Anolis sagrei: one gene and its partners. The protein of the gene in region 3 binds, or shares a complex with, the protein of the main gene of each other region. Links are inferred from orthologs where the notes say so. Each region holds a gene or a part of one and is shown on either strand. Other genes may lie near its edges. The genes, in order: GRN, NTS and SORT1.

What was found.
Region 1: the proteins of SORT1 (region 3) and GRN are in contact, whole or in part, in a crystal structure (PDB 8T8S), measured with the Homo sapiens proteins. The link is inferred for Anolis sagrei from reciprocal best matches to the Homo sapiens genes SORT1 and GRN. Residues at the interface, in NP_002950.3 of Homo sapiens: Leu108, Gly110, Ser111, Val112, Ser113, Leu114, Ile174, Gly175, Pro176, Lys260, Tyr304, Ser305, Phe306, Gly307, Leu308, Phe314, Ala315, Ser316, Arg325, Ile327, Phe350, Tyr351, Ser352, Ile353, Leu354, Tyr395, Thr398, Gly399, Thr402, Phe404; in NP_002078.1 of Homo sapiens: Pro578, Arg579, Trp580, Asp581, Ala582, Pro583, Arg585, Arg590, Gln591, Leu592, Leu593.
Region 2: the proteins of SORT1 (region 3) and NTS are in contact, whole or in part, in a crystal structure (PDB 4PO7), measured with the Homo sapiens proteins. The link is inferred for Anolis sagrei from reciprocal best matches to the Homo sapiens genes SORT1 and NTS. Residues at the interface, in NP_002950.3 of Homo sapiens: Val112, Ser113, Leu114, Ser115, Trp116, Lys260, Tyr304, Ser305, Phe306, Gly307, Leu308, Phe314, Ser316, Arg325, Ile327, Phe350, Tyr351, Ser352, Ile353, Tyr395, Gly399, Thr570, Gly571, Leu572, Ala573, Trp586, Trp597; in NP_006174.1 of Homo sapiens: Leu152, Tyr153, Glu154, Asn155, Pro160, Tyr161, Ile162, Leu163.

The regions. Positions count from the first base shown.
Region 1 is NC_090026.1:47,776,737-47,786,524, forward strand, and holds the start of GRN (progranulin), read right to left. Parts: upstream 4,635-9,788; 5' UTR 4,553-4,634; intron 1-4,552. UniProt on the Homo sapiens protein: Secreted protein that acts as a key regulator of lysosomal function and as a growth factor involved in inflammation, wound healing and cell proliferation. Regulates protein trafficking to lysosomes, and also the activity of lysosomal enzymes.
Region 2 is NC_090025.1:151,526,987-151,537,052, reverse strand, and holds the start of NTS (neurotensin/neuromedin N), read right to left. Parts: upstream 4,972-10,066; 5' UTR 4,913-4,971; coding exon 4,642-4,912; intron 1-4,641. UniProt on the Homo sapiens protein: Neurotensin may play an endocrine or paracrine role in the regulation of fat metabolism. It causes contraction of smooth muscle.
Region 3 is NC_090024.1:184,771,890-184,782,722, reverse strand, and holds the start of SORT1 (sortilin), read right to left. Parts: upstream 4,272-10,833; 5' UTR 4,201-4,271; coding exon 3,997-4,200; intron 1-3,996.

The DNA of each region.
Region 1 (9,788 bases), on a different chromosome or scaffold from region 3:
CCACTTTGCAGGCAAGGTTGCCCAGATACGTCTTGAGCTCGACTCCAATCTTATTGTAGCGCCAAGAGAGGTGACCGAGGCATCTGCTTGTCCAATTTTGTGGGATTCTTTTCGGCTTGTTCTTCCTGAGACCGTGGAGGAGGTTCTTGGGGCTGTGAGGGCGACCACTTCGGCTCTTGACCCTTGCCCATCCTGGCTTATTAAATCTGCCAAGGAGGGGTTGGTTGATTGGTTTGTGTTGATCATTAACGCTTCGTTGGAGCAAGGGATCTTTCCATCTAGTTTGAAACAGGCTGTGGTTCGTCCACTCCTAAAGAAGTCATCCCTTGACTCTACGGTGCTGAACAACTACAGACCGATTTCCAACCTCCCTTTTTTGGGTAAGGTGCTGGAGCGGGTGGTTGCCCTCCAGCTCCAGAGCTTCCTGGATGACATCAATTACCTGGATCAGGCACAGTCTGGTTTCAGGCCTGGTCATGGCACCGAGACAGCCTTGGTCGCCTTGGTGGATGACCTCCGTAGAGGACTAGACCGGGGGAGTGTAACCCTGCTGGTCCTCTTGGACATCTCAGCGGCTTTCGATACCATCGACCATGGTATCCTTCTGGGTCGGCTATCTGGGATGGGCCTTGGGGGCACGGTTTTGTCGTGGCTCCAGTCCTTCCTGGAGGGACGTACCCAGATGGTGAAGCTGGGTGATGCCTGCTCGGACCCCTGGCCTTTGACCTGTGGGGTCCCGCAAGGCTCCATTTTATCTCCCATGCTTTTTAACATCTACATGAAACCGCTGGGAGAGGTCATCCGGAGTTTTGGAGTTGGGTGCCATCTCTACGCAGATGACACACAACTCTACTACTCTTTTCCACCTAATTCCAAGGAGGCCTCTCGGGTGCTGGACGAGTGCCTGGCCGCTGTGTCTATCTGGATGAGGACGAACAAGCTGAAGATCAATCCCGACAAGACAGAGGTCCTCCTGGTTGATCGCAAACCAGACCGGGGTATAGGGTGGCAACCTGTGTTGGACGGGGTTACACTCCCCCTGAAGCCACAGGTCCGCAGCTTGGGAGTCCTCTTGGATTCATCGCTCACGCTTGAGGCTCAGGCGTCGGCGGTGTCCGGGGGGGCTTTTGCACAACTGAGACTTGTGCGCCAGCTGCGCCCGTACCTCGCGAAGGCTGATCTGGCCGGGGTGGTCCATGCCTTAGTCACCTCTAGATTGGACTACTGCAATGCGCTCTACGTAGGGCTGCCCTTAAAAACGGCTCGGAAATTTCAACTGGTCCAACGGGCAGCAGCCAGGATGCTAACCGGGGCCCCCTACAGAGAGAGGTCAACCCCCCTGTTTAGGGAGCTCCACTGGCTGCCATTTATCTTCCGAGCCCAATTTAAGGTGCAGGTGCTTACCTACAAAGCCCTGAACGGTTTGGGACCATCCTACCTACGAGACCGCATCACAGTCTACGAACCCACACGCTCGCTCCGGTCATCAGGAGAGGCCCTGCTCGTGATCCCACCCGCCTCACAGGCGCGTTTGGTGGGGACGCGGGACAGGGCCTTCTCTGTGGTGGCCCCCCGCCTCTGGAATGCCCTCCCGAAAGATCTCAGACAGGCCCCCACCCTGGCGGTCTTTAGAAAAAACCTGAAAACCTGGCTATTCCAACGTGCCTTCTCAGATTAGGAATCCCCACTATCAAAGCCCAGAAGCACTTTAGTAGAGCCAAGATCACTTTCAACGCACACCGTACTTATATCTTAATCTTATATCCCTCCGACACTTTTTTCAGCACTTTTAACCCTGTACCCCACCCCAGCCGGCTCAGTTTTTTAAATAACGTCCTGTTGTATTGTTATTGCCTTTGTTTTCTGCTTTAACTGTTTTATTTTGTTTTATTTTGCTATGTATTGTATTGTTGTATTGTGTTGTGCTGGGCTTCGGCCTGTTGTAAGCCGCATCGAATCCCTTGGGAGATGCTAGCGGGGTACAAATAAAGTTTAATAATAATAATAATAATATTAGAGACAACGTTGAAGTACTTTGGCCACATCATGAGAAGGCAGGAAAGCCTAGAGAAGACAATGATGCTGGGGGAAAGGGAAGGAAAAAGGAAGAGGGGCCGACCAAGGGCAAGATGGATGGATGGTATCCTTGAAGTGACTGGATTGACCTTGAAGGAGCTGGGGGCGGTGACAGCCAACAGGGAGCTCTGGCGTGGGCTGGTCCATGAGGTCACAAAGAGCCGGAAGCGACTGAACGAATAAACAACAACACACTGAGGAATTAATGCAGTTTGATACCACTTATAATTGCCAAGGCTCAATGCTATGCAATCCTGCATACTTTTCGGCAGAGATAACTGAAGATAACAGTTCCTATGGTTCTACAGCATTGGCAGTTAAAGTAGTTCCAAACTGCATTAATTCCATCGCGTAGATGCCGCCAACCATAACAACACAGATCAGTTCCATCTAACCCAGGGGGCATCTACACTGTAGAGTTAATGCAGTTTGGTACCACTTTAACTGTGAGGAATCAGTTTGGTGAGGCACCAGCACTCCTTGGCAGAAAAGGCTAAAGAATGACCTTGTAAATTCTACAATACCCATAACTCCATAGTATTGTCATGGCAGTTAAAGTGGTATCAAACTGCTTTAATTCTACAGTGTAGATGCATTCTGGAAGCCAGGAAATGAGAAAGCAGGAGTCCCTAGCTGGCTATACTTCAAATCTCTCACTGAACAGGAAGGCATTTGTTGCCTATCATGGCTGATATATCTATATAAATAAAAATTGTAATGTTCGTTTGTGGGATTAACATAACTCAAAAACCACTGGACGAATTGACACCAAATTTGGACACAAGATACCTATCAGGCCAACGAGTGACAATCACTCAAAAAATTGATTTTGTCATTTGGGAGTTGTAGTTGCTGGGCTTTATAGTTAACCTACAATCAAAGAGCATTCTGAACTCCACCAATGAGGGAATTGAACCAAACGTGGCACACAGGACTCCCATGATCAACAGAAAACACTAGAAGGTTTTGATGAGCATTGACCTTGAATTTGGGAGTTGTAGTTCACCTCCATCCAGCGAGCACTGTGGACTCAAACAATGATGGATCTGGACCAAACTTGGCACGAATATTCCATATGCCCAAATGTGAGCACAGATGGAGTTTGGGGAAAAGAGAACTTGACATTTGGGATTTGTAGTTACTGGGATTTATAGTTCACCTACAATCAAAGAGCATTCTGAACCCCACGAATGACAGAATTGGGGCAAACTTCCCACACAGAACCCCCATGACCAACAGAAAATACTTATGGCCATCCAGTCCAACTCCCTTCACCAGGGCAAGAAAAAATAATCAAAGCCCTCCTGACAAAGAGCCATCCAGCTATAGATATATATATGATTCACAGAGAGAGATATAGTATCATAGATTTGAAAGGAACCCCTAAAGAAGGACAATTCTATGTTGCATGTTCCAGGGTGGGCAAACCAGATAATCTCCACATCAACACTGACAAAGAAACAGCAAGAAATACTAGGTTCTTGTGGGTTTTTTTCGGGCTATATGGCCACGTTCTAGAGGCATTTTCTCCTGACATTTCGCCTGCATCTATGGCAAGCATCCTCAGAGGTAGTGAGGTCTGTTGGAGTTTGGAACATGGGTTTATATTTCTGTGGAATGACTGGGGTTGGACAAAGAGCTCTTCTCTGCTGGAGCTAGGTGTGAATGTTTCAACTGACCGTCTTCATTAGCATTTGAAGGCCTGGCTGAGCCTGGGGGAATCAAAATCTGGCTACCAGTATTTAAAAAAACTAAAATTACAACAGCAAAACAGCAGAGAGGAAACAACCAGGCACATCTTAACACCTCTCAACAAAAGATTCCCCCAGGCTCAGCTAGGCCTTCAAATGCTCATTGGTCAGTTGAAACATGACCAGTCAGTTGAAACATGACCAAGGTGGTCAGTTGAAACATTCACACCTAGCTCCAGCAGAGAAGAGCACTTTGCCCCACCCCAGTCATTCCACAGATATATAAATAAACCCATTTTCCAAACTCCAACAGACCTCACTACCTCTGAGGATGCTTGCCATAGATGCAGGCGAAACGTCAGGAGAAAATGCCTCTAGAACATGGCCATATAGCCCGAAAAAACCCACAAGAACCTAGTGATTCCAGCCATGAAAGCCTTCGACAATACAGCAAAAATACTGTTTATCCACAAGTATAAATAAATTACATATATTAGGAACCAACACTTTCTCATTACTTTATTTTCCAGATCACCAGACTGGGCCACAGCAACGCATGGCAGGGGACAGCTAGTTATTATTATTATTATTATTATTATTATTACTCTATCATTACTACAACTATTATTATGATGATTATTATTATAATTTCTACTACAACTACTATCATCATCATCATCATTACTTTGATCTATATGCCGCTTTTGCTCTCTTAACTAAACTCAAAACGCCTAACAGTGATTTTGAAAAGTATTCTATACAATTCCAATGTAAACACAACTCACCCAGGCTTTCCCACTGCAGCCAGTTCCAACCCGCTAATGCACAGACTGGCTCAGAGAATGCACTCTCTTCCTACCGCAAGGGGATTGGTTGTTTTTCCCCAGGGGGGCGTGGCGTAGGTAGGTAGAACGCCGGTTCCTCGTATTTGATTGGCTGGTTCGCAGCTTGGGCCCATCCTACCGCAGTGGGTCTTGGCAGAGGCGATCATATGACCCTCTTTCTCAATTTTTCAAAGGCGCGCATGATCTCCTCGGGTTGGGAAGGATCGCACGTGACAGAAGGGAAGAAAAGAAAAAAGAGGGGTCAGGCCAGGCATTAAACCCGGAAGTGGTAACCGAGAAGGGTGTCTCTGAGTGCATGCAGAGGGCAGGGAAAATGGCTTGGTTTTGTTTTTTTAAATCACACTTTCCAGAATCCTTGTCAACATTGTGGTAATTGTAGTCCCCCCCCCCCCCCAAAAGTCACTTTCCAGGCTACACTGTGGAATTAATTCGGTTTGACACCACTTTAATGCTGTGGAATCATAGGATTATTGTTTTCTAGTACTCTAATAAGGCTCCAAATTGGCCTAAAACAGAGGGAGGCTAAAATGATCAAGGGTCTGGAGAACAAGCCCTATGAGGAGCGGCTTAAGGAGCTCAGCATGTTTAGCCCTATTCTGCCTTGGTTAGACCACATCTGGAATATTGTGTTCAATTCTGGGCACCACAAATGAAGAGGGGTGTTGACAAGCTGGAATGTGTCCAGAGGAGGGTAACTAAAGTGATCAAGGGTCTGGAGAACAAGCCCTATAAGGAGCGGCTTAAAGAGCTCAGCATGTTTAGCCCTCTTCTGCCTTGGTTCGACCACACCTGGAATATTGTGTCCTATCCTGGGCACCACAATTGAAGAGGGGTGTTGACAAGCTGGAATGTGACTAAAATGATCAAGGGTCTGGAGAACAAGCCCTATGAGAAGCGGCTTAAAGAGCTGGGCATGTTTAGCCCTGTTCTGCCTTGGTTGGACCACACCTGGAATATTGTGTCCAATCCTGGGCACCACAATTGAAGAGGGGTGTTGACAAGCTGGAATGTGTCCAGAGGAGGGCAACTAAAATGATCAAGGGTCTGGAGAACAAGCCCTATGAGGAGCGGCTTAAAGAGCTAGGCATGTTTAGCCCTATTCTGCCTTGGTTAGACCACACCTGGAATATTGTGTCCAATTCTGGGCACCACAATTGAAGTGGGATGACAAGCTGGAACGTGTCAAGAGGAGGGCGGCTAAAAATGATCAAGGGTCTGGAGGACAAGCCCTATGAGGAGCGGCTTAAAGAGCTCAGCATGTTTAGCCCTGTTCTGCCTTGGTTAGACCACACCTGGAATATTGTGTCCAATTCTGGGCACCACAATTGAAGAGGGGTGTTGAGGGTGACTAAAATGATCAAGGGTCTGGAGAACAAGCCCTATGAGGAGCGGCTTAAAGAGCCAGGCATGTTTAGCCCTATTCTGCCTTGGTTAGACCACACCTGGACTATTGTGTCCAATTCTGGGCACCACAATTGAAGAGGGGTGTTGAGGGTGACTAAAATGATCAAGGGTCTGGAGAACAAGCCCTATGAGGAGCGGCTTAAAGAGCCGGGCATGTTTAGCCCTAGTCTGCCTTGGTTAGACCACACCTGGAATATTGTGTCCAATTCTGGGCACCACAATTGAAGAGGGATGTTGACAAGCTGGAACGTGCCCAGAGGAGGGCAACTAAAGTGATCAAGGGTCTGGAGAACAAGCTATATGAGGAGCGGCTTAAAGAGCTCAGCATGTTTAGCCCTATTCTGCCTTGGTTAGACCACACCTGGACAACTGTGTCCAATTCTGGGCAGCACAATTGAAGAGGGGTGTTGACAAGCTGGAATGTGTCCAGAGGAGGGCGATTAAAAATGATCAATGGTCTGGAGAACAAGCCCTATGAGGAGCGGCTTAAAGAGCTGGGCATGTTTAGCCCTATTCTGCCTTGGTTAGACCACACCTGGACAACTGTGTCCAATTCTGGGCACCACAATTGAAGAGAGATGTTGACAAGCTGGAATGTGTCTAGAGGAGGGTGACTAAAAATGATCAAGGGTCTGGAGAACAAGCCCTATGAGGAGCGGCTTAAAGAGCTGGGCATGTTTAGCCCTATTCTGCCTTGGTTAGACCACACCTGAAATATTGTGTCCAATTCTGGGTACCACAATTGATGATATATATTGACAAGCTGGAATGTGTCCAGAGGAGGGCGACTAAAATGATCAAGAGTCTGGAGAACAAGCCCAATTGAATTGATTTAATGTTTTTGTCTATATGTAATTATTGTGTTTTATTATATGTATATAAGGGCATCGAATCTTTGCCGGCTGTAAGCCGCACTGAGTCCCCCCCTGAATTATTATTTTTATTTTATTGAGAAGGGTGGGGTATAAATATTTGAAATAATAAAATAATAAAATAATTCAAGATGCATCCAAAGTCATTCCATCCATTCTTCCTTATCCTTATAGTCTCTGGTAAGAAGAAAAAAGGATGCAAATGCTGGGAAAGAAATTGAAAAGTTACAATTTCTCCTTCCCTTTTAAAAACAAGCCATATAACAGTAAAACTTCATGCAGAGTTGCCTTTCAACTCCTTCAAAGCACCAGAATGTTCTGATAAGATTATTCCTGCCTTCTCAGTTCCTCCTTCTGCGACTTATTCTTCTTTTCCAAGGTCAAAAACAATTCTGCCTGCAAAAGATCAAGTCAAAACAGGCGTGGAGTCGTCCTGGTTTCATTGCTGTATTGCTACACCCCATTCAGTCTTTGTTTTGCTTTTGGCTGAGCATAGCCAAAGCAGCTCTTTTTAGTGTTCTTAGTATTGCTTGTAGCCTTGGCTGTTAATGATTGAAACAACCTTTATAGTGGTCTAATTACAGTCTTAGGATGCATCTATACTGTAGGTTTAATGCAGTTTGATACAACTGGCATGGCTCAATGTTATGGAGTAATGGAAGTTGTAGTTTGGGAGCTTTTTTTGGCAGAGAATAATAATAATAACAATTATTATTATTATTATTATTATTATAAAGATAATAATAATAATAATAATAATAATAATAATAATAATAATAATGAGTTGTTGTAGGTTTTTTCGGGCTATATGGCCATGTTCTAGAGGCATTTTCTCCTGACGTTTCGCCTGCATCTATGGCAAGCATCCTCAGAGGTAGTGAGGTCTGTTGGAAGTAGGAAAATGGGTTTATATATCTGTGGAATGACCAGGGTGGGACAAAGGACCTTTGTCTGCTGGAGCTAGGTGTGAATGTTTCAACTGACCACCTTGATTAGCATTTAATGGCTTGGAAGTGCCTGGGGGGAATCTTTCGTTGGGAGTGATTTGATGTGCCTGATTGTTTACTCTCTGCTGTTTTGCCCAAAAATCCAATACAGAAAAATAAAATACAAAACAACAATAAATTAAATCATAATAAAATACATAATGAACAAGATAAAATAAACAATGCAAAATAACATAATAGAAAGTCAAACACAATGGGCGGGCCAAATGCACGAGATAAAATGATAAAACCCTGGATGAGATAGGAGTGGGGGGGAAAGTGTATTTGTGAAGGAGTGTATTAATGATGGAAGAGCCCAAAAAGACAATCAGTGGGGTTCAGCCTTTCGTTAAGGACGGAGGAAAGTGCATCATGAGGACAAAACTGTAGATGGAATAAACAAAAATGGGATGTATGGTCACTCTCCAAAGATAACATCGGAAAAGCCAAGTTTTCAAACCTTTCTTAAAGGCTGCTAAGGTGGGGCTTGACTAATCTCACTAGGTAGCGAGTTACAAAACCGGGGGGCCATGGGGGAGAAGGCTCTCTCCCTTGTTCCCACAGGTTGTAACTATGATAGAGGAAGGGACGAAAGGAGGGCCTCCCCAGAGGATCTAAGGGATCGTGGAGGTTGGTGGTAGGAAATGTGGTCACAAAGATAGGCGGGTCCCAAACTGTTAAGGGCTTTATAGGTGATAACCTGCACCTTGAATTTGGACCAAAAAATGAACGGCAGCCAATGGAGCTCCTTAAACGGAGGTTGGCCACTCCCTATAATTTGCCCCAGTTAGTAATCTAGCTGCCGAACTTTTGGACCAATTGGAGTTTCAAGGCCATCTTCAAGGGAAGCCCCATGTAGAGTGCATTGCAATAGTCCAATCTAGAGGTAACTAAGGCATGGACCACCGTGGTCAAGTCAGACTTCAGAAGGTATGGCTGCAACTGGTACACAAGCTTTAATTGTGCGAAGGCTCTCCCAGCCACCACCGACACCTGCGCATCAAGCGTCAACGCTGAGTCCAGGAGGACCCCCAAGCTGCGGACTTGTGTCTTCAGGGGGAGTGCAACCCCATCCAGCACAGGTTGCCCCCCTATACCCCGGTCAGACTTACCACTGACCTGAAGGACCTCTGTCTTGTTGGGATTAATCTTCAGCTTGTTCGCCCTCATCCAGATCGTCACAGAATCCAGGCACTGGTTCAGCACCCGAGGGGCTTCATTGGATTCTGGTGGGAAAGAGTTGTAGAGTTGGGTGTCATCTGCATAGAGATGGCACCAAAACTCCAGATTACCTCACCCAGTTGTTTCATGTAGATGTTTAAGAGCATGGGGGACAGAATGGAACCTCGCGGGACCCCACAGGTCAACAGCCAGAGGTCCAAGCAGGTGTCTCCCAACTTCACCAACTGGGAGCGACCCTCCAGGAAGGACCGGGCCCACAGCAGGACTGTACCCCCAAGTCCCATCCCGGTGTGTCATTCCAGAAGGATACCATGATCAATGGTATCAAAAGGCACTGAGATGTCCAAGAGAACCAGCAGGGTCACATTCCCCCTGTCCAGTTCTCTGCAGAGGTCATCCACTAAGGTGAGAAGAAGGCTTAGATACCTTCTGAAACTGCTAGCCCTATGATTCCATAGCATTGGGCCACAATTTATTTATTTATTTAGTATATTTGTATACCGCCTCTCTCATGTCTTAAGATTCTTCCGAAATGATAGGAGCGAAGAAGCCGATCTAGTCTCCCTAGGAAGGGCGTTCCATATCTGAGGGGCCACCACTGAGAAGGCCCTGTCTCTTTTCCCCGCCAGCCATACTTGTGATGATGGCGGGACTGAGAGCAGGGCCTCTCCAGATGATCTTAAAGTCCTCGCAGGTTTGTAAGAGGAGATTCTTTTGGACAGGTAAGTTGGG
Region 2 (10,066 bases), on a different chromosome or scaffold from region 3:
ACTGTGCAAACATATAGAAAAATGCATAAAAATAAAATATATAATTTGAAAGCTAAAATGTTGGCTTAGGATGACAAACATTTACAACATGAACAATATGTTAATTATTTGAAGCTTATATCATTCACAATGGAAACAATATTGTCTCTTAATGAATATTTTTGGGAATAATGTAAATTATTTGTAGTCTATTTCATAAACGTGTAATTTTCTACACTGAAAATTGTGTCTATTGTTTTATTCTCGATTCTCTTGATCCTGTGATAACCTAAATAGCAAGAGAAATTGTTTTTGTAAAAAGAGATTGCTGAAAATAGGAACTTATTTTCAGCAAAGCTACACAAAGAATTCTGTACTAAATAATAAAAATGGTGTGTGTGCACGCGTGTGCGTGGAGGAGAGTTGCTCTGTGGTCTTTGATCTCATGCTTGTAGATAATTTCCTGGGATTTACAGAAAAAAATGGTTGCCTCTCCCATTTTGTATTCCAAGTCACTTATTGTTCAGTTCTACCTATAGAGATGCACCTACAGAGATATAGATACTCATTGCTTAATGAATTAAATGGCAGATTTCCATATTGAATGGACTTTCCATTGAAGGCAACGGGTATGGTGGAATTGAATTTAAACGCTTCTAAAGTTCCACTGAAATGTACTTAATCTTCCCTTTTGAATTACTAGAGTTTAAAAGTGCTGATGATTTCTGGGTTGTATTCAAGATGATGAGGCATAAAGGAATAACAGTGTCCTTGCTTCTTTCAACAAGTGCGTCGTCAATTTTACATCATTGATTTTCCTTTTTCCAATGAGAAAGGCCATGCCAGTGAAAAGAAATGTCATTTTAACTGAAGCTGAAGACCATTTTGTATAAACCATCCACACTTTTAACATTACACTTGGTAATAGGTAATTATAAAAAAAATAACATTAAACAGTCAGTATTTTCATCAATGTCGCAAATTGGGTAGTCCCATGAATTGGGTAGTTCATTTATTTATTTATTTACAAATTATCCTGCTCTTCTCACCCCAAAGGGGATTGAAAGCAGCTTACAAGTTATATGCACATACAATATATTATATTATTGGCATAGCACAATATTAGTATTATATATTACTATATTGTACTATACCACTACACTGCAATATTATTAGTAATATTACATGAAATATAAAAATATAATTATTATTATATTATATTATATTGTTATTATTTTATTGTATTACAATATTATGATCAAATATGATCAATAATTCAAATATGTGAGAATAATTGGAATTATACAAATGTTTATATCTTTTTAGAACCTTTTTTGCCCTGGATAGGAGCATTCTTTTTTTTCAGTTAGATATAACCCAAAATATAATTTGGAAATAAACATCAGATATGGGTTCACACAGGATTTGTAAATCCAACTGGATTAAAAAGGACTTGTCGTGTAACTGTACAGGATTACGGCTTTTGACTTTAGAGAATCAGTTTTCTCTAGTATTTAACACATACATACATACATACTTAGATTTTACATTGCACACACATTTTTATTTTGAATCATGTACTATACAGTTTTACCTGGATACAGGGATCCTGAATCAGAACTATAGAGGTTTTTTCCCCCTTCTCTAAATTCTTCCATGAACTATTTCAGAAATAGTAATAAGTATCTCTGGAACTCATGTAAATTCCTCATACCACTTATTTTAATATTTTGAAAAACCATGTTGGAAAATATGCCATAAAACAATATTTTATAAGATAAAATTCAGATTTTTTTTGAAATAATTATGTTTTTATTCTTTAAAATCCAAGAGATTCAACATAGCATGATGAAATGACTCTGGAAGATGGCTGGATGGCCATCTGTCAGGGGTGATTTGAATGTGATTCTCCTGCCTTTTGACAGGGGGTTGGACTGGATGGCCCATGAGGTCTCTTCCAACTCTAGGATTCTATGATTTTAAGACCAGAGTCTGCAATCCTCAGGTATAATGGAGAATCAGGATCAAGTAAAACTCTCTCATCCTTAGAAGAAGGCAATGGCAAACTTCTCTACATAAATCTGACCAAGAGAATACAATTGACAGTAAACCAGAATTGACACGAAGGCTTATAACAATAACAATAACAAGTAAAACTGGTTTCAGTTATGAAACATGGCCTGAGGAGGAGGGATTAAATGAAATTTAAGGAAATACTTCTTTTTTCCTTTTTTCAGATAATCTGCTTATATATTGATTCACACCTTGAATTTTGGATGTACTTTTAGAATAACTGTAAACATTGACTTTCATATGAAATAGAGACCACTGTTGGATGTTAAGTCTGAACAGATCAACATTTTGCTCTTTTAAGAAATATTGTATATAGTTTGAGATAAGAAATTCTCCTAGATTTTGAACCTTTCTCCATCTTAGGACCACATCACACTAGAGAATGAATCCATTTTAAATCTGGTTGTTGTCTCCTGTGGACTTCTGGGGTTTGTAGTTTAGAGAGGAGCCTTTAACAGCCTCACTAAACTACAAACCCCAGAATTCTGCAGGAGGCAGAAACCAGATTTAAAGTGGATTCATTCTCTAGTGTCATGAAGTAGTAAGAATCAACAACATATTCTCACAATTATTTCTCCAAACAGTCTCTAAAGAAGATCTCTACCATTACTCCAGTCTACTGATGGGGAAAAAAAACCTGTCATAAAAACAAGCTTGTAGTGCTGTGCCACAAAGCAGGTTTCAAAAATGCGCCTATTGCTTTTTTTTTATGCCAGGAGTGACTTGAGAATCTGCAAGTCGCTTCTGTTGTGAGAGAATTGGCCGTCTGCAAGGACATTACCCAGGGGATGGCCGGATGTTTTACCATTCTTGTGGAAGGCTCATCTCATGTTCCTGCATGGGGAGCTGGAGCTGACAGAGGGAGCTTGTCCACCCTCTCCCCAGATTCAAACTTCCGACCTGTCGGTCTTCAGTCCTGCTGGCTTAACCCTATTGGACCACTGGGGGCTCCGGTCACCTATTGCTAATCTCATGATATGTCAGGTGTGGTCTGGAACAGTGATATTCAAAGTGTTCTGTGAACTGACTCCAGTAAGCTAGTGACTGCCATGCCCTGTGTTCAGGAGGGGGGAAACAGCTATAGTTAATGGAGATAAATATGGCACTAATCCCTGGCACACAAGTGTTTCTCCCACACCAGACAAGAAGTGCCAGTCTAGACCACAAAGGAGTACAGTATTGGGTGATTTGCAGGAAACTTTCTTATTCTCAATGAGTTAACAAAAGCAATGATAGCTCTAAAAAGCTATAGTTTTGCCATGGTTAATGCTGACCTTTTTGCCATGGTTGTTGTCAGGTTTTTTGATCCCTGGCACACAAGTGTCTCTCCCACATCAGACGGCTTAAGAAGCACTGGGCTAGACCACAAAGGAGTACAGGATTGGGTGATTTGCAGGAGCCTTTCTGGTTCTCAATGAGTTAACAAAAGCAATGATAGCTCTAAAAAGCTATAGTTTTTCCCATGGTTCATGCTATCCATTTTGCCATGGTTATTATAAGGTTTTTCAGCTTTTCTTATACATTGGTTGTCTCTGACCAGAACTTTTGGCAGCTCATGTTCATTGGGTCCTGAGTTTATGACTCCATGAGCATTTTGCTGGAGTCCCTGGTTGCTCAATGGGTTAAACCCCTGTGCCACCAGGGACTGATGATCGAAAGGTCGGTGGTTTGAATTTGGTGAGTGGGGTGAGCTCCCTCTGTTAGCTCCAGCTTCTCATACAAGAACATGAGATTAGCCTTCCACAGAATGGTAAAACATCTGGGTGTCCACTGGGCAATGTCCTTGCAAACAGCCAATTCTCTCACACCAGAAGCGACTTGCAGTTCCTCAAGTTGCTCCTGACATGGAAAAAAAGCCTTTTGTTCATTCATTAAAATGACCCAATTTGATCCAAATTAGTACAGCCCACATATATTTTGGCACAGTGAAAAATATACCACAATTTTCCAGACAGTTCGGTCCATTGGGCAGTGGATTGGACTCTTGTTCCTACATCACACTAGAGAATGAATCCACTTTAAATCCGGTTTCTGCCTGCAGCAGAATTCTGGGGTTTGTAGTTTAGGGAGGCTGTTAAAGGCTCCTCCCTGAGCTACAAACTCAGAATTCTGCAGGAGGCAGAAACCGAATTTAAAGTGGATTCATTCTCTAGTGTGAGGAGGTCTGGAATCCCTTCCAACTCCATGGCTTTACTCATTCCTATAATGCTCTTTCTTAATGGAGCCCACATGGCATTTAAGGTGACACAGCCAAAGCAGAAGCCTCCTTCCAAAAGATGGACGTGAAGGGAACTCTTCTATTAGCTTAAAGGTGAATCTTAAAAAGTCAGCCAGGCAATGGGTGCGGGGGTTTTTTCAAACGATACCCATACAACATATATAACTTAGAACCTGTCAAATCTGAGTTGCTTAGAAGCCTTCTCCAAAGCCAAGCAGGAACTCCTAACTTTTGAAAGTGACCCTCCAGGTCCCAACTCCTCCCTTTGGAAAGGACTACCAGGGCTGCCTCATCCTAGGTGGAGTTTGGTTCTCACGGGCTTCGCCTGAGAGAGCCAGGCTGCCTAAACCGAGGAGGCGCCGCTTGCTTACCTGCGCACACGCTCCAGGAGGCGAAGGCAAGCAGCATCGCGCACGCCAGCTGCATCCTCAGCATCCTCGTCGCCATCCTCCTCTCTCCTTCTAGAAGGCAAAGTCCATGCAAGAAGGGGCGTGCGAGCGGCAGAGAGGGAGGCCAATCGGCCAGGAAGTTTGGAGAGAGGAAGAGAGGGAGGCAGAGGCGGGCGGAGGAGCGCGCCAAGATCGGGCTCTTGCCTTCTCCCTTTCCGAGCGCCTGGAGCTGCTTCCTGAAGGTCTGGACCATAAGGGCAGCCCTGGACCAGTCCCGGAGTATATAAGGGAGCGGGCGACTGATGTCACGGAGGCGCCGCAGCCACTGTCGTTGGATGCAACGCCTCCTCCCCCCTCCCCTCCCCTCCCCTCCCCTCCCCTCCGGGAGCCTCTTTCGGGGGGAAACTGACGCGGTTCCCTAATTGCGAGGCGTGATTTCGCGCTTCTTGACGCAAAGACCGAGGAAGGAAAGCGGGGGGAAAGGGGTCAGAGACAAAGAGAAGGACAAAACAGGAAAAAAAATGGGGGAGAAAAGAGGGAACAGAAAGTTCGCACTGCAACCTCTCCCCTCCCCAACTGAATGCAGTTTGGCACCACTTTAAACTGCCATTGCTCAGTGGTATGGGATGATTAGTCTTTCCTGCCAGAGTGCTAGTGTTTCAACAGATTGCAGCCCAAAGGATTCCTTACCATTGAGCCACAGGAGTTGAATTGGTGTCAAACCCCATTCATTCTTTTTTTGGTCATGTCAGGAGTGACCTGAGAAACTGCAAGTCGCTTCTGGTGTGAGAGGATTGGCTGTCTGCAAAGACGTTGCCCAGGGGACGCCCGGATATTTTTTAAAAATAATCTTTATTGAAAGTTTTCATTAAAATACATATTATATGGAGCCCCCGGTAGTGCAGTGGGTTAAAGCACTGAGCTGCTGAGCTTGTTGACCGAAAGGCCGCAGGTTCGAATCCGAGGAGCGGTATGAGCGTCCACTGTCAGCCCCAGCTTCTGCCAACCTAGCAGTTCGAAAACATGCAAATGTGAGTAGATCAATAAGTACTGCTCCGGCGGAAAGGTAATGGCACTCCATGCAGTCATGCCGGCCACGTGACCTTGGAGGTGTCTACAGACAACGCCAGCTCTTCAGCTTAGAAATGGAGATGAGCACCACACCCCAGAGTCGGACACAACTGTACTTCATGTCAGGGGAAAACCTTTACCCTTGACCTTCCATATTATATAGAAGCTTCAATCATAATTTAAAAGAAAAGGGAAAAGAAAAGAAACAAACAAGGAAAGAGAATGGGGAAGATTGAAACGATAAAATAAAACAAGGGAAAAAATAATGAAAAGAAACCATCAACCAAATAGATTTCAGTCCCAACTTCCTGAGTATCCTCTGTGAGGTATCTTCTTTTTCTTTCTTTCCTTTCCATCTTGTTTATCCTTCTCCCTTCCTTTCGTCTGGTCTCTCTCTCTCTCTCTTATGTTATGTTATATTAATATCATACAGTTTTGTGTTTTAAGTATTCTGTAACTTTTGTCCAATCTGTTTCTTTTATCGGCTTTCCTTTATTTTTAGACATCAAGTAGGAAAGTCTGTCCATATTTCTTATGTCAAGTATCTTTTCCAACCAAGCTTCTTCTTCTGGTATCTTATGTATCTCTGGATGCCCAGATGTTTTTGATGTGTTACCATCCTTGTGGGAGGCTTCTCTCATGTCCCCACATGGAGAGCTGGAGCTAATAGAGGGAGCTCATCCATGCACTCCCCGGATTCAAACCTCTAACCTGTTGGTCTCCAGTCCTGCCGGCACAGGGGTTTAACCCACTGCACCACCAGGGGCTCCCATTCATTCTATAGTGTAGATGTGCCCATAGTTTTCCGGTGTGCTTGCGTGTGTATTAGAAGTGTGTGTGTGTGTGTATCCATCCCTTGATGCACTTTCTCCCATCCCTTAGTGAAGGTTAACCACACTGTTCACCCTTCTGAGTTCTCCTCCCAGATACACATTACTCCATTTATCTAATCTCACTTGTTTAGATATCAGCCAGTATTCCAACGACTTGAATCAAGAAATAGTTTTCTAAGATCTACAGAGACACTCGCTGGAACACCTCAGCAAGCGAGAGTCCAGAAGTGGCAGGCTAAAACCCAGAACCTCAATCAACAGCTGATACCAAATGAGAGACTCCCTTCTGGGCACACAGAAAACTGAGCGACTTGGAAGGCATTAAACAGACTTCTGTCTGGCATCACGAGATGCAGAACCAACCTTAAGAAATGGGGCTACAAAGTGGAATCCACGACATGCGAGTGTGGAGAAGAGCAAACCACAGACCACCTACTACAATGCAATCTGAGCCCTGCCTCAAAGGACATTTAATAGAATGCCAAGTTTGCAAGCTTTTGCAGTTTGGTTTGCTCCTGACACGATAAATAAATAAAATAAATCTCACCCAGGGCTTTATCAATTTTATCTTGTGCATTTGGCCCACCCACTGTGTTTTTATTCTTCTACTATTTTATTTTGTGTTGTTTATTGTGTATTTGCTATTGATTGTATTTTTCTTTGTTATTATTATTTGCTGATGTATTTTACTTTGCTGTATTGTAATCCTTGGGCTTGGCCTCATGTTAGCCATCCTGAGTTCCTTTGGGGAGATGGCAGAGTATAAATAAAGTTTATTGTTGTTGTTGTTGTTGTTGTTAAGTTCAAACATGAGGGCTAACATATGAGAGCATGTATTTCTATGTGTCTTTCAATATTAAACCTAAACCGGGTCAACCCTGCGTTGTCAAAGGCTTTCCTGACCGGATTCACTAGGTTGCTGTGAGTTTTCCAGGTTGTATGGCCAAGTTCCAGAAGCATTCACCTGACATTTCACCCACATCTATTGCAGCCATTCTCAGAGGTTGAGGGTTCTGTTGGAAACTAGGCAAGTTTATGTATTTATTTATTATTTGTGGTATTTATATACTGCCCTTCTCAACCCTGAAGGGGATTCAGGGCAATTCAATGCCATTGATTAAAAATTAGTATAAAACATCAAAATTGACCACCCCTGATAAAACATTAAACATTATTAAACACATCACATAAAATAACATCACATTATCACACAAAGACATAGCCATTGTTTCCAGCAGATGCCTCAACCTCTGTGGATGCCTGCCATAGATGTGGGTGAAACATCAGGAGAGAATGCTTCTGGAACATGGCCATACAGCCCAGAAAACTCACAGCAACCCATGCTCAAGCCTGGTTAGTATTTGGGTACCAAGTGACATACATTATGCAATGGGCCCTCTGTATCAAAGGGTTCTGCATCCTGGAATTCAACCATCCATGGCTTGAAATTGTTCCAGAAAGCAAATTCAAATTTTACTATTTTATGTAAGGGGCACTGTTTTCTAACCCCTTGAATATAATGGGAGTTGAGCATCCATGGGGTCCTGGAACCAAACTCCATCATTGTATTTCTAAAAAAGGAACTGAGCTGAGGAAACTTTACCAAATGAATGGGGTCACCTTGACCTAACAGGTGGCTTGAAGCTGTTTATTTCTGTTGTTTATTTATATATCATGTCAGAAGTGAATTGAGAATACAGTTATAACGTATAGAACAGGGGTTCTCAACCTGTGGGTCCCCCAGGTGTTTTGGCCTACAACTCCCAGAAATCCTAGTTAGTTTACCAGCTGTTGGGATTTCTGAGAGTTGAATGCCAAAACATCTGGGGACCCACAGGTTGAGAACCACCATTATAGAAAAAAATAGCATTATACTAAATGTACTTTGACCAGTAGCTGACCACTTGGAATGCCTTTGGTGTTGCTATAAGAAGGTCATCTATAGTGTATGTGGCAGGGCTAAGACTGCGCTGTAGCAAGTGGTTCATGGTTTGCTCTTCTGTGCACTTGCATGTCCTGGACTCTACTTTATAGTCCCATGCCTTAAGATTGGCTCTGTGTCTCTTGGTACAAGAGCACAGTCTGTTCAGTGCCTTCCAAGTCGCCCAGTCTTCCATGTGCCCAGGAGGAAGTTTCTCATCTGGTATCAGCCACTGATTGAGGTTCCGAGTTTTAACCTGCCACTTTTGGACTCTCACTTGCTGAGGTGTTCCTGTATCTCTGTAGATCTTGGGAAGCTATTTCTTGATTTAAGACATTGGCTTGATGGCTGATATCAGATGTTGTTGTATGGAGTCAATTCATTGGCTGATTTATGGCAAGGGCAACCCAAAAAATGAATAAATTACTACATATGCACCAGGGCAATTTTACAGATAATGTAAGCATTTTGAGAAGTTGTTTCTGGTTTTGAATAACATTGTGGTGTTTCAGCTCAGCCTCCTTCCCTTCTCTTTTTATCAGCACATCATGTGGGCTAGGCTGAGCTACATTGACTGACCCAAGCCGCCTTTTTGAGTATGATTTGAACCCAGGTCTGCTCGGTTTAAATCTTCATTCTCACTGGTTAGATTACAACACTCTTTCCATTGAATTACAATGAAGAAGTGTCAGGTACAAAAATTGACTAGGCAAGGAATTAACTGTGGATCTTGAATGGACACACACATCACTACACAACATTGCATTAATTCAGTAAGAATGGCACATGGTCTGTGCATTCTCAGATAAGGTTATTTTCAGTCCGTTTATAGAAAGTCACCTTATTTTGGGGAGGGGTGTATTTAAGAAAAGGGAAGGAGGTAAAAAGCATGAGGTTCATGCTGGCACAAAATATATCTTGTAAGCCAGTTCTCAAATGCCTATGTGTGTGTTCTAATTAGTGGATATGTGTTCTAATTAGTGGATAAGCAGATCTTCCTACCTTTTCTCAACTGTCCTCACATATCTATTATCTTGCTGTGTGCCTATCTGAGGATTTAGAGGGCTTTCTTCTGTGTTTCATCAATGAATTTAATACATTGTATGAGGATGTGGGAGAGGGCTTTCTCAGCAGTGACACTGCAACTATGACATACCCTTCCATTGGAAGACTGATTGGCATCAATGCTGATTTGTGATTTCATTGAGGTACCAAGTAGAATCATGATTAAAGCATTTGAGCCTCAAATAATTTCCTCAAAATGTTAATGCACATACATGATTTGAAATTATGTTATCTTATTAATTGTATTTTATTTATTATGTTTTAGATTACTTATGTTATTGTTTCAAAATAGTTCAACTCATTTGCATTGATTTTATTTACATGCTGCTATAAAGGCATTTGATATTAGGGCCTAAATATACAGATCTTGTCTGATCTTGGAAGTTAAGGAGAGTCAACTCTGGTTAGTACTTAGATGAGAGACTGTCAATGAATACCAAATGTTGTAGGCTATATATCAATGGAAGAAACTGGCAAAACTGCCTAAGAAAATCCTGTGAAACTCATGGGGTTGCTG
Region 3 (10,833 bases):
AGGTATTTCCTATAGAATGGCCTTCACAATCCATGCTCACTGGACAAGACATGTTTTGCCAACATGTCCAACAAACACTGGCTGTAAAACACAATGGGAGTTGAACACTCAGAAAAGCTAGGTAACCTGAGCAACCAAAATTTAGATTTGTGCACACCTATCCTGTAGCAGCTGGCTTCCTCACTTGCCAGTCACATCCAACGAATTCCAGAGTCTCGCTACTTTAGGATAAGCCATTCACATGAAAGCCAATAGTGCCCATCGGCTTTTAACACAAAACACAGGCTAATGAAGACAGTGGTAAGCTCAAAACCAGTTCATATCCCTCTAAGTGCCAGTAATCCTCAGAATGGATAAAGAAAATCTTTTCAGGGTGAACTAGATGTCACACACTGAGATCTTTTGCATTTTTAAATGCTTCTAACCAGCTCTGAGGGTGCATATACACTGCAGAAGCAATACAATTTCACATCACTTTAACTGCCTTGGTTCAATGTTATGGAATCCTGGGAGTTGTTAGGTGAGTTTCTTTGGCAGACAAAGACGAAGACATTGTAAAACTAGAGCTCCTAGGATTCCATAATACTGAGTCATGGCAGTTAAGGTGTTTTTGTTTGTTTGTTTGTTTGTATTTTGTCGTGTCAGGAGCAAGTCGCTTCTGATGTGAGAGAATTGGCCGTCTGCAAGGACGTTGCCCAGGGGACACCTGGATGATTTGATGTCTTTATCATCCTTGTGGGAGGCTTCTCTCATGTCCCCGCATGAGGAGCTGGAGCTGATAGAGGGAGCTCATCCGCCTCTCCCCGGATTCAAACCTGCGACCTGTCGGTCTTCAGTCCTGCCGGCACAGGGGTTTAACCCACTGCGCCACCGGGGGCTCCTCAGTTAAGGTGGTGTCAATCTGCATTACTTGTACAGTGTTGGTGCACCCTATGGCTGAAAAGCTAACTAGGTTGGAGAACTCTGCCATTCCCTCAATTTAAATGCACATTCCTGTTGGCTTCCTAGGAAGAATAGCACTCAAGTGCCAAAGAGTGTCAGTCTGTCTTGACTTAGCTCCAAAGTCATTATATTCCCTGGCTCTGAAGGTGTGGCTCTTCCCCATTCTTTCCTCACAAGTACGTCAGGCTGTCCACTCAAAAGCGTACATGCTTATTTGTGTCGCATATTACCAATGTTTAATTCTTGCAGTGAGCGCCACTTGGGTTCAAACCTTATCTGAGCAATGCAAGTCACCTGGCCTAGGAAACCTGTCAGCTGATTCAAGAGGAATAGGCACTGAATATCTTCTTTTTTTGTGCCAGGAGCAACTTGAGAAACTGCAAGTTTCTTATGGCATGAGAGAATTGGCCACCTGCAAGGACATTGCCCAGGGGATGCTCGGATGTTTTACCATCCTGTGGGAGGCTTCTCTCATGTCCCCACATGAGAAGCAGGAGCTGACAGACGGTAGCTCACCCTGCTCCCCGGATTCGAACTGCAGACCTTTCGGTCAGCAGTCCTGCCGGCACAAGGGTTTAACCCATTGTGCCTGGATGTTCTACCATCCTGTGGGAGCCTTCTCTCATGTCCCCCATGAGAAGCTGGAGCTGACAAATGGGAGCTCACCTCGCTCCTTGGATTCGAACCGCAGACCTGTCAATCAGCAGTTCTGCCAGCACAAGGGTTTAACCCATTGCACCACAGGGAGCTCCTACCGAATGTCTAATGTGTATCTTTTGTTGTATTTTGTGTTCCTTAAGGAAGCTTCTGGGACTGAGAGTGGATGATTTACCCAGAATCACCCCAGAAGATTTCCATGAACAAGTGGGGATTCTAATCCAGATCTCTAGAATTGTAGGGTGTATCCACACTGTCTAATTAATGCGGTTTAACACTACTAAAAACCGATTTTAATGCCATGGCTCAATACAGCTTGAAGCCACTTAAACTGCCGTGGAATTGTGGGAGTTTGTACTTTGGTGAGACATCAACCCTCTTTGCCAGTGAAGACTCAAGCTGTCGTAAAACTACAACTCCCATCATTTGATAGCACTGAGCCATGTCAGTTGAAATGGTTTCAGATTGTATCCATTCAACACTGCAGGTGCACCCATAGACGATTGCTGAAACTCCTATGCCATACTTGAAGTGACAGAGAGATTATTAAGAGGCATTCTGCACATGCTCAGAGACAGCATCTTCCTTGTCACTCTCAAGCTGAATTGAATGTGCATCTATATCAGTTATGGGCAAACTTGGGCCTTCTGGGTGTTTTGGACTTCAACTCCCATCATTCCTAATAACCTCAGGCCTGTTCCTTTTCCCCCTCAGCCGCTTAAGGAAGGGACCTGAGGTTGTTAGGAATGATGGGAGTTGAAGTCCAAAACACCCAGAGGGCCCAAGTTTGCCTATAACTGATCTACACTGTTGAATTAATGCAGTTTGTCACCACATTGAACTGATACAACTCAATCCTAGGATGTATAGTTCATATATATTTATATACAATAATATTATAATGTAGTACAATAATATAATAATCTATATATAAAAAATGCTCTGTGCATAATGAGTTCCTTAAAAACAAAAGAACCAATGGACGAAATCACACCAAATTTGGCAACAAAACATCTCACAACACAAGAAATGGCCATCACTCAAAAAGTATGAATTTGTCATTTGGGAGTTGTAGTTGCTGGGATTTATAGTTCACCTACAATCAAAGAGCATTCTGAACTCCATCAACGAGGGAATTGAACCAAACTTGGCACCAGAACTCCCATGACCAACAGACAACACTAGAAGGGTTTGGTGGGCATTGACCTTGAGTTTGGGAGTTGTTGTTCACCTACATCCAGAGAGCACTGTGAACTCAAACAATGATCGATCTGGACCAAACTTGGCATGAGCACTCAATACGCCCAAATATGAACACAGGTGGAGTTTGGGGGAAGTAGACCTTGACATTTGGGAGTTGTAGTCACTGGGATTCACAGTTCACCTACAATCAGAGCATTCTGAACCCCACGAACGACAGAATCGGGGCAAACTTCCCACACAGAACCCCATGACCAACAGAAAATACTTAAGGCCATCCAATCCAACTCCCTTCATGAGGGCAAGAAAATATAATCAAAGTCGTCCTGACAAAGAGCCATCCAGACATAGATATAGATAGATTGATATGATTCACACACAGAGCGAGATATAGTGTTATAGATTTGAAAGGGACCCCTAAAGAAGGACAATTCTATGTCGCATGTTCCAGAGTAGGCAAACCAGACACTCTCCACATCAACACCGACATAGAAACAACAAGGAATACTGTTTACCCTCAAGCATAAAGGAATTACATATATTAGAAACCATTACTTTATTTTCCAGATCACCAGACTGGGCCACAGCAACGCGTGGCAGGGGACGGCTAGCATATTATAATATAGTTGATAATATTATAATGTAATACAATATAATACTAATAATAATACAATATAATAATTATATATTTCATATTACATGTCATATTACTAATAATATTACAGTATACTGGTATAGTACAATATGGGAATGCATGTTACTAATATGGTGCTATGTAAATAATATAATATATTGTATTTACATATAACTTGTAAGCCGCTCTGAGTCCCCTTTGGGGTGAGGTGGACGGCATATAAATGTCGTAAATAAATAAATAAATATAGAGACCGCGAAGGAAGCTCAAGACCTTGTGAAACTACAATTCCCAGGCTGCCATAACTTTGAGCCATGGCATTTAAAGCGGTATCAAAGCAAACCCTGGGATTTGTGGTTTGTGGCCTCTCTGGCAGAGAAGACCCAAGACCCTGTGAATAGTAATTCCTTAGATTTCATAGCCTTGAGGCAGGGCAGCTGCAGCGGTGTCGAACCGCGTTAATTCTTAAGTGTAGACGCCCCTTTGAAGGACACCACAGAACGGAAGGCACCGAAGTCTCATGCTCTTCAGGCCCGTCTCCCCCACCCTTGCCTCCCGCTCACCTTGTGGGTGTTGTTGCTCAGCGCCTCCAAGGAGAAGCCTCCGTCCCGCGGGCCGCATTCCGCCTCAGGCCGGCCCTCCTGGGCCCCCCGCCGGGCCCGCAGCCTCCCCTCCCCGAACCGGAGCTCCCGTCCGCCAAGCAGCGCCGGCGCCCCCGCCAAGAGCAGCAGCAAGACCCCGACCCGCGCCAAACTCGCCCGCTCCATCTCCGCCGCCGCCGCTCACAACAACAATCGCTAGGAAACTCTCTCCTCAAGCTTCAGGGGCGGGCCCGTCCCGCCCACCCGCGCCCTCATTGGCCCAAGCCGACCAGGTATGTCAACGTCACTGGCTGCCGGAAACGCCAATCTCACCCACCTTCGATCAACAACCTGCCTCTCTTGGTAGCTTCTCCCCCATTCGTCCAACGCTCCCGGCTTCTTTTTTCTCATTGGGTTAACGCCTTGTCCGTTTCCGCACTGCAGTCGTTGATTGGCTCCCCGCGGCAAGAGCCTCCCCCCGTCAGATTCTCTAGCTGGGCAGCATCACCCCACTTTGAAGAGCACCTTGCCCATTGGCTAATTGCCTACCAGCGTTGTCCCTTTGCTGATCCTCGGAGTAATCCTAAAACATCCTCGAGGCCGTGCCCTGATTGGCTGCAGTGCAAGGACACGAAGTCCACGAGAGGCTAGAGGAGAACCTACACCGTACATCTAATGCAGTTTGACATCACCTTAACTGCCATGGCTCAATGAGATGGACTCTTAGGGGTTATACTTTTACAAGATCTTGAACCATGTCTGCCATAGCATTAAGCCATAGCAGTTGAAGTGGTGTCAAACTGCATTAATTCTACAGTGTAGATGCACCTCTGAAGATGGATTGAAGTCTAGACACACAATTCATGTGTTTGACATACACATAGCCAGATGATTGTATTATTTGTGTGCTTCATATACACATACGGAGCCCCCAGTGGCACAATGGGTTAAACCCATGTGTAGGCAGTATTGCTGACCGAAAGATCGGCGGTTTGAATCCAGGGAAGAGGGTGAGCTCCAGTCTGTCAGCTCCTGCTTCTCATGCAGGGACATGAGAGAAGCCTCCCATAGGATGGTATAAACATTTGGGTGTCACCTGGGCAGCGTCCTTGCTGACAGCCAATTCTCACACACCAGAAGCAACTTGCAGGTTCTCAAGTCGCTCCTGACACAAAAGAAAAATGTACACATAGCCTGATGATTGTTTTATACAGTATTATTTTGTGCATGGACATTTTTTTGTGTATATTGAACCATCACTATCTCAGCCATCCTTGTAGACCATTTTAGGTTTGGGAGCTATTTGCAGTTTCAGACAAGGAATACTCAGGTTGTATTCTGAATGTTAGACTTGTCAATATACACTGGCAAAGGAAAAATGATTTTGAGAAGAAATTGATACACAGCAAAGCTATCAGTCAAATCTCTGAACCTTTCTCTTCAGTTGAATCAGCTTGCTGTAGGGACACCCTAAGGGTTTCACAAGGTTAACAATTGTTCCCTTTATATCAACTGCACAACTGATTATATTAAACAGGGTCTCAGCACAATTGTGATAAATCAAATGATCATTTTCTGCCACATTTCCTACAAAATTGTGAAAATTCTTGGCTCACTTCCCACTTCACCATCCCAATCTGCAAAGTAAGTTGGAATGTATGTGCGCCTGGGGTTAATGCAGTTTAACCCCACATTTAACTTCCATGGCTGCTCTGAGTCTCCTATAAGACAGCAAAGATGGATAATTTTATTGAATCATCAGGAGCTGCAACTTACAAGGTCTTTAACCTACTCTATCCAAGAGTGTTAATGCCTCACCAAACAACAAATCCCAGGATTCCATAGTATTGTGCCACAACAGTCAAAATAATGTCAAATTGCATTAATTGTTTAATAAGATGCACCCTCAGGAAATTTCATGGTTGTGAAAGGATCTCAGCCTGTATCAGTCCAAATTCCAGTGTGTATAACACAGTCTCTCTGATATAGTTACTTAGGTAACTTATCTTTATTCAGGATTGTAGGAAATATTTTTCTTGAGCCAACCACTAGTTCAGCCCTGCACCTTAATTTTTACAAATAAAATAGCAGACAGTCAATAATCAATCCTATTGAAGAACATGTCCAGTTTGATCCTCATCTATTCCATGAATAGTAAAAAGGGGTTTTGTTTTACAAATAAGGGCATGCTGCCATGTTGGAATATTGCCATCTGTCAGAAAGAGGAAAGGAAGCCCCTATATACACATACATACATACATACATACATACATATTTATGCCATTGTGGAAGGGTTTTTGGCTTGGATGGTGGAAAATTAAAAAGGCCAAGAACTGAGCAATTTGAACTGGCCATTTAAAAATAATAATAAAGAATGCACACAAATGGAAATCTACAGGCAATGCAACCAGTTGAGTAAACTGGCAGTGGTTTTATGGGTGTCTCAATGTTAGGTGCAACACTAATGGAAGCACTGAAGTTCAAACAGGAAACTGAACCAAAAGGTTGCAACATGAAACTGTTGGGGATGGGGAAAAGGAAACATAATGGCATGCAACACAAATTAGATGTTGAAATAATGTATATACACTGCAGTGACATTGACAAAAATTATCTACTGAAGATAGATCATTATTAGAAAATAGCCCAAGAAACTGCTGAAAGCTTCCTCAACCTGGGACCCTCCTATTTTGTTGAATGTTTTTTTCCCGTGTCAGGAGCGACTTGAGAAACTGCAAGTCGCTTCTGGTGTGAGAATTGGCCGCCTGCAAGGACGCTGCCCAGGTAACGCTTGGATATTTTGATGTTTTACTATCCTTGTAGGAGGCTTCTCTCATGTCCCCACATGGAGAGCTGGAGCCGACAGAGGGAGCTCATCCGTGCTGTCCCCAGATTCGAACCTCCGACCTGTCAGTTTTCAGTCCTGCTGGCACAAGGGTTTAACCCATTGTGCCACCGGAAGCTTCTTTTTGTTGAATTAGACTTCTATTACCAAATTAATATAATCCCAAACCAAAGTCCTGTTCAAGAGACAGAAGTAGCCCCACTATTATAGTACTATATTCCTCGATGTATTTTAACCATATTAGATAATCTTCTAGCTTGACAAAGTAGGATATAGATAAAATATTTTTAATAGAAGAAAGGTTTGTTGTTTTTGAAAAAAGAATTCTAAATTGTTCCTGAAAACAGTATTACCAGAATAAACTGAAACAAGCTTCCCAAAAGAAAGAAAACAACTTGCCATAATCTCTGGCAATCTTTGCAAACATTCTAGAAGGGACAACACGGCTCCTTCCGAAATTAGCTGAGGAACAGCTTGATCTCTGGGAAACTGCCCCATAAGCAATAAAAATCCTGTGGGCCACTGAGTGTAATCTTTATCAGGACCAAGTGTTTAAGTTGGCTGGGGAAACCAACAGGCAACTAAGCAAGATCACCACTTTGATTACCAGTTTCTTAGCTTTTATATTTATAAAGTCTATAATTATGTGATTAAAACAAAAAGGCTGGCTAAGATTACTCTGGAATAATAACATCCTTCCAAAGAGCCAGCTTTTAGGAAGCTGCTATTTTTCAAAATACCACCATTTTGAAACTTTGTGGGTTATTCAGGATATTCAAGAAATTTGCTGGTTTCTAGCTGCAGCTAATGCAAAATCCAGACATTAATCTTAAAACATAATTTGAACTTGTAATTATTTTGTGCAGGTTATCCACATAACAATTATCAACAGACCAACTGTATTTAAATCTCCATTAGGAAACAGCAGCTGGCAAGTTTGAAATGATAACCACCATTCCCTAGTGATTATTGCCAATAAATACAGGGTGGGACAGCTCTTACTAGAACAAATAAGAAAATAAAACATTAATACATATCCGATTTGGTATACATTTTTCCCCTGAGATGTTTACATAACATCAGCTATGACCACTATATATATACAGGGTGTTCCAGAAATGTATACACCCTTTATCAACTAATTGTAGCAATTATTTGAAGGCTAAGTAAATACACTTATATTGAAGAATAAATGTTATAAAGATTTAACCAGGATTACATAACCCATCTTAAATTATTATTTTATGTAGAGTTCATATTGTCTCTGCTTGCATTGTTGAAGCATGGAGTTGCAAACTTCATTTAAAAGTTTAACTTTGTGATTTCACAATAATTTTCTAGGGTAGGGAGAAACCAAAAACAATCCTTGAATTATAAATTGTTTTGGCTTTGCACATTTTTGGGATTAGATACAGAAAACCCTCAAGGAAGTTTGTGGCCTGTTTGTATTACAACACATACTAAGAGCCAGAGTGGTATCGTTGACTGAGTATTGGATTAGGACAATGGGAAACAGGGTTCAAATATTTGATCTGCCATAGAAATTCACTGGGTGATGTTGACAGGTCATACTCCCCAGCCTCAAAAGGCAAGGGAAAAGCTCTGAATATTTTCAGCCACAAAACCCCTGTGATAGGTTAGCCTTAGGGTCACCATGACTCAGAAATGACTTGAAGGCAAACAATAGCATGCTGATGCAGAACCTGTACAAACAAAGGCAGCATACCAGTTCATGTCTAATTCAGTAACAGGAATATGTACCCTATAACTCAGTGGTTCTTAAGGTGTGGGCGGCAGACCACCAATGGGCCACGAGGACAAAAACCTGATCCGTGAGCCTCCTTCCTCATTATTTATTTTTCTCCCACTCTTCTTGCTCCGCCTGCTACTCCTTCCCTGTCGCTGACCATGGAAACTGGAGCTGATGTGGTTTATCCAAAGCAATTTTCTGAATCAGCCCCCCAAACGAAATCTAAAGTTGACCAAAACCTGTTTCATAACCCTTTTGGCACTAATGCTGGAGTGTGGTCCCTGGTCAAAAAAAGGTTGGGAACCACTGCTATAACTGATTCAGAAAAATCAGTACCAAAGAAAAATATGTACTATCTTATGGAGGATGGGCATCATACAACACTCCAGAGGTTGTTAGGACTGCAATTTCTGTCATTCCAGCCATCACAGCCAATTGCGTGGAATGAGTTACAGTACACTATGTGGAAGACCTCATGATGTCTTGTTGCAGACATATGTCATTTCCTCAAAATAAAAGATGCACAATATAATGTATTTGTGAGTTTTGAAAACAAGCAGGAACCCATCAGAGATCTTCCCTACAGTTATTTTTTAGCTATTTAAAGTGTTTGGATTTGAACAGTGGGATACACAGATATACTTTTTCTGATGCTATGACAGATATGATAAGATTTGTATAATTTTCTAATAACTCAAAGACCAACATGAATACATACAGCTTTTAACATTTGGAATTGGCTGGTTTGTAGCAATCAAGAAGGACTTGCTTTTACTGCTCAAATAAGAATGGAACAAAGTCTTGTTTTTTTAGTTTGCTCACATGGTAGCTGGTACTACCAACTGTATTTAAAAGAGAACATAAAAAGCCTTTGTCTTACATGTTAGAGATCCTTTTTTTGTACAAACTAAACAAAGTCTAGATGAAATAAAAACCATTCTATGCTTTCAAAGAACTCTTCATATCATTTCCTATAAATTTAAAACACCTCTATTCTCACTGAAGAATGCATTACACCAGCTTAATCTAGGATCACATTTGCTTTACAATTTACTTCCCCTGAGCTTTTGTTTCAAAGGAACACTATACATTTAATGCAAACTTAAATCGCAGTGGATCCATTCTTACAGGTAATAGAAGGCACTAATGGATAAGCTCATTGCTATATGTTAGGTGGTACCTAGCCCAACATGGGACGTTTTTCTGCTTATTGCTCATTACACCCAATAACATTTGCTTAGTGAAAACACAGCCAATGGACATACACCCCTTATTTCTGTGTTAACCTTTACAATACCCCCATATATGTCTTTTCTAGCTGATAACAAAACATTATTGAGAACATTTTTGTAGCATTAAAGATGTCTGCCTACCGTTCGGATGAGGCAAACAATTCATTACTTTCTTCAACAAGTACATTCTATATGATTTCCCATCACCAATTTTTCAACAAAAGGAAGAATCCTGCATTTGTCTGGGTTCATTCACCGATTGTTTCGGAATAAATGAAATCGTTTACTTACATGTTTGAGAAACTGCTATAGACTTTTATCCCTTTTATTACAAACATCTGACCTCAAGCTATATCGTTAAAGGTTATTGATATGAATGAAACGGGATATGACACAAGATCATTGGCTTGCCTTGTGTGCCAAAATGAAAGTAAAGCTAATAAAAACTGTAATGTGATGTTTGGCCATAATATCAAATAAGGGAAATACAGAGCAGATGACTGGCAAACTTTAAACTTTAAGGAGGCGCATGAAATCAGCTGGATGATTTGAGTAGGACCTCAGTTTCTATGTATTACAAAGGCATATACCTTGCCACAGGAATATACAAGTGAAAATATGTAATGAGTTTGAAATGCACAATATTTTTCTACCTATAAAAGTATGGTTCTTTTTTTATATGTTAGCAAGTTGCATATTTAAAGCAATTCTCTAGTTGCAATGTCTTGCCTTGTTGAGATTCTGTGTTCCACATGAGGGAGCTGTATCACTAGAAGGCTAGAAACAGGAGCTCCAGAAGTAGCTTTCAAGGCCACAACATAGCTGGGAGTTCAATTACTAACTATGTTGGCCAGAAAAGGAAGAAAGTGCAGCACAGTAGTAATGTAAGATGAGAAAGATATTAGACACCAGCAATTAAGTTACTTAAGGGAAGAAACAATACAGTAATTTTAACTGTGGTCTTTGAACACTGGTCGTTTCAAAGGTTTAAC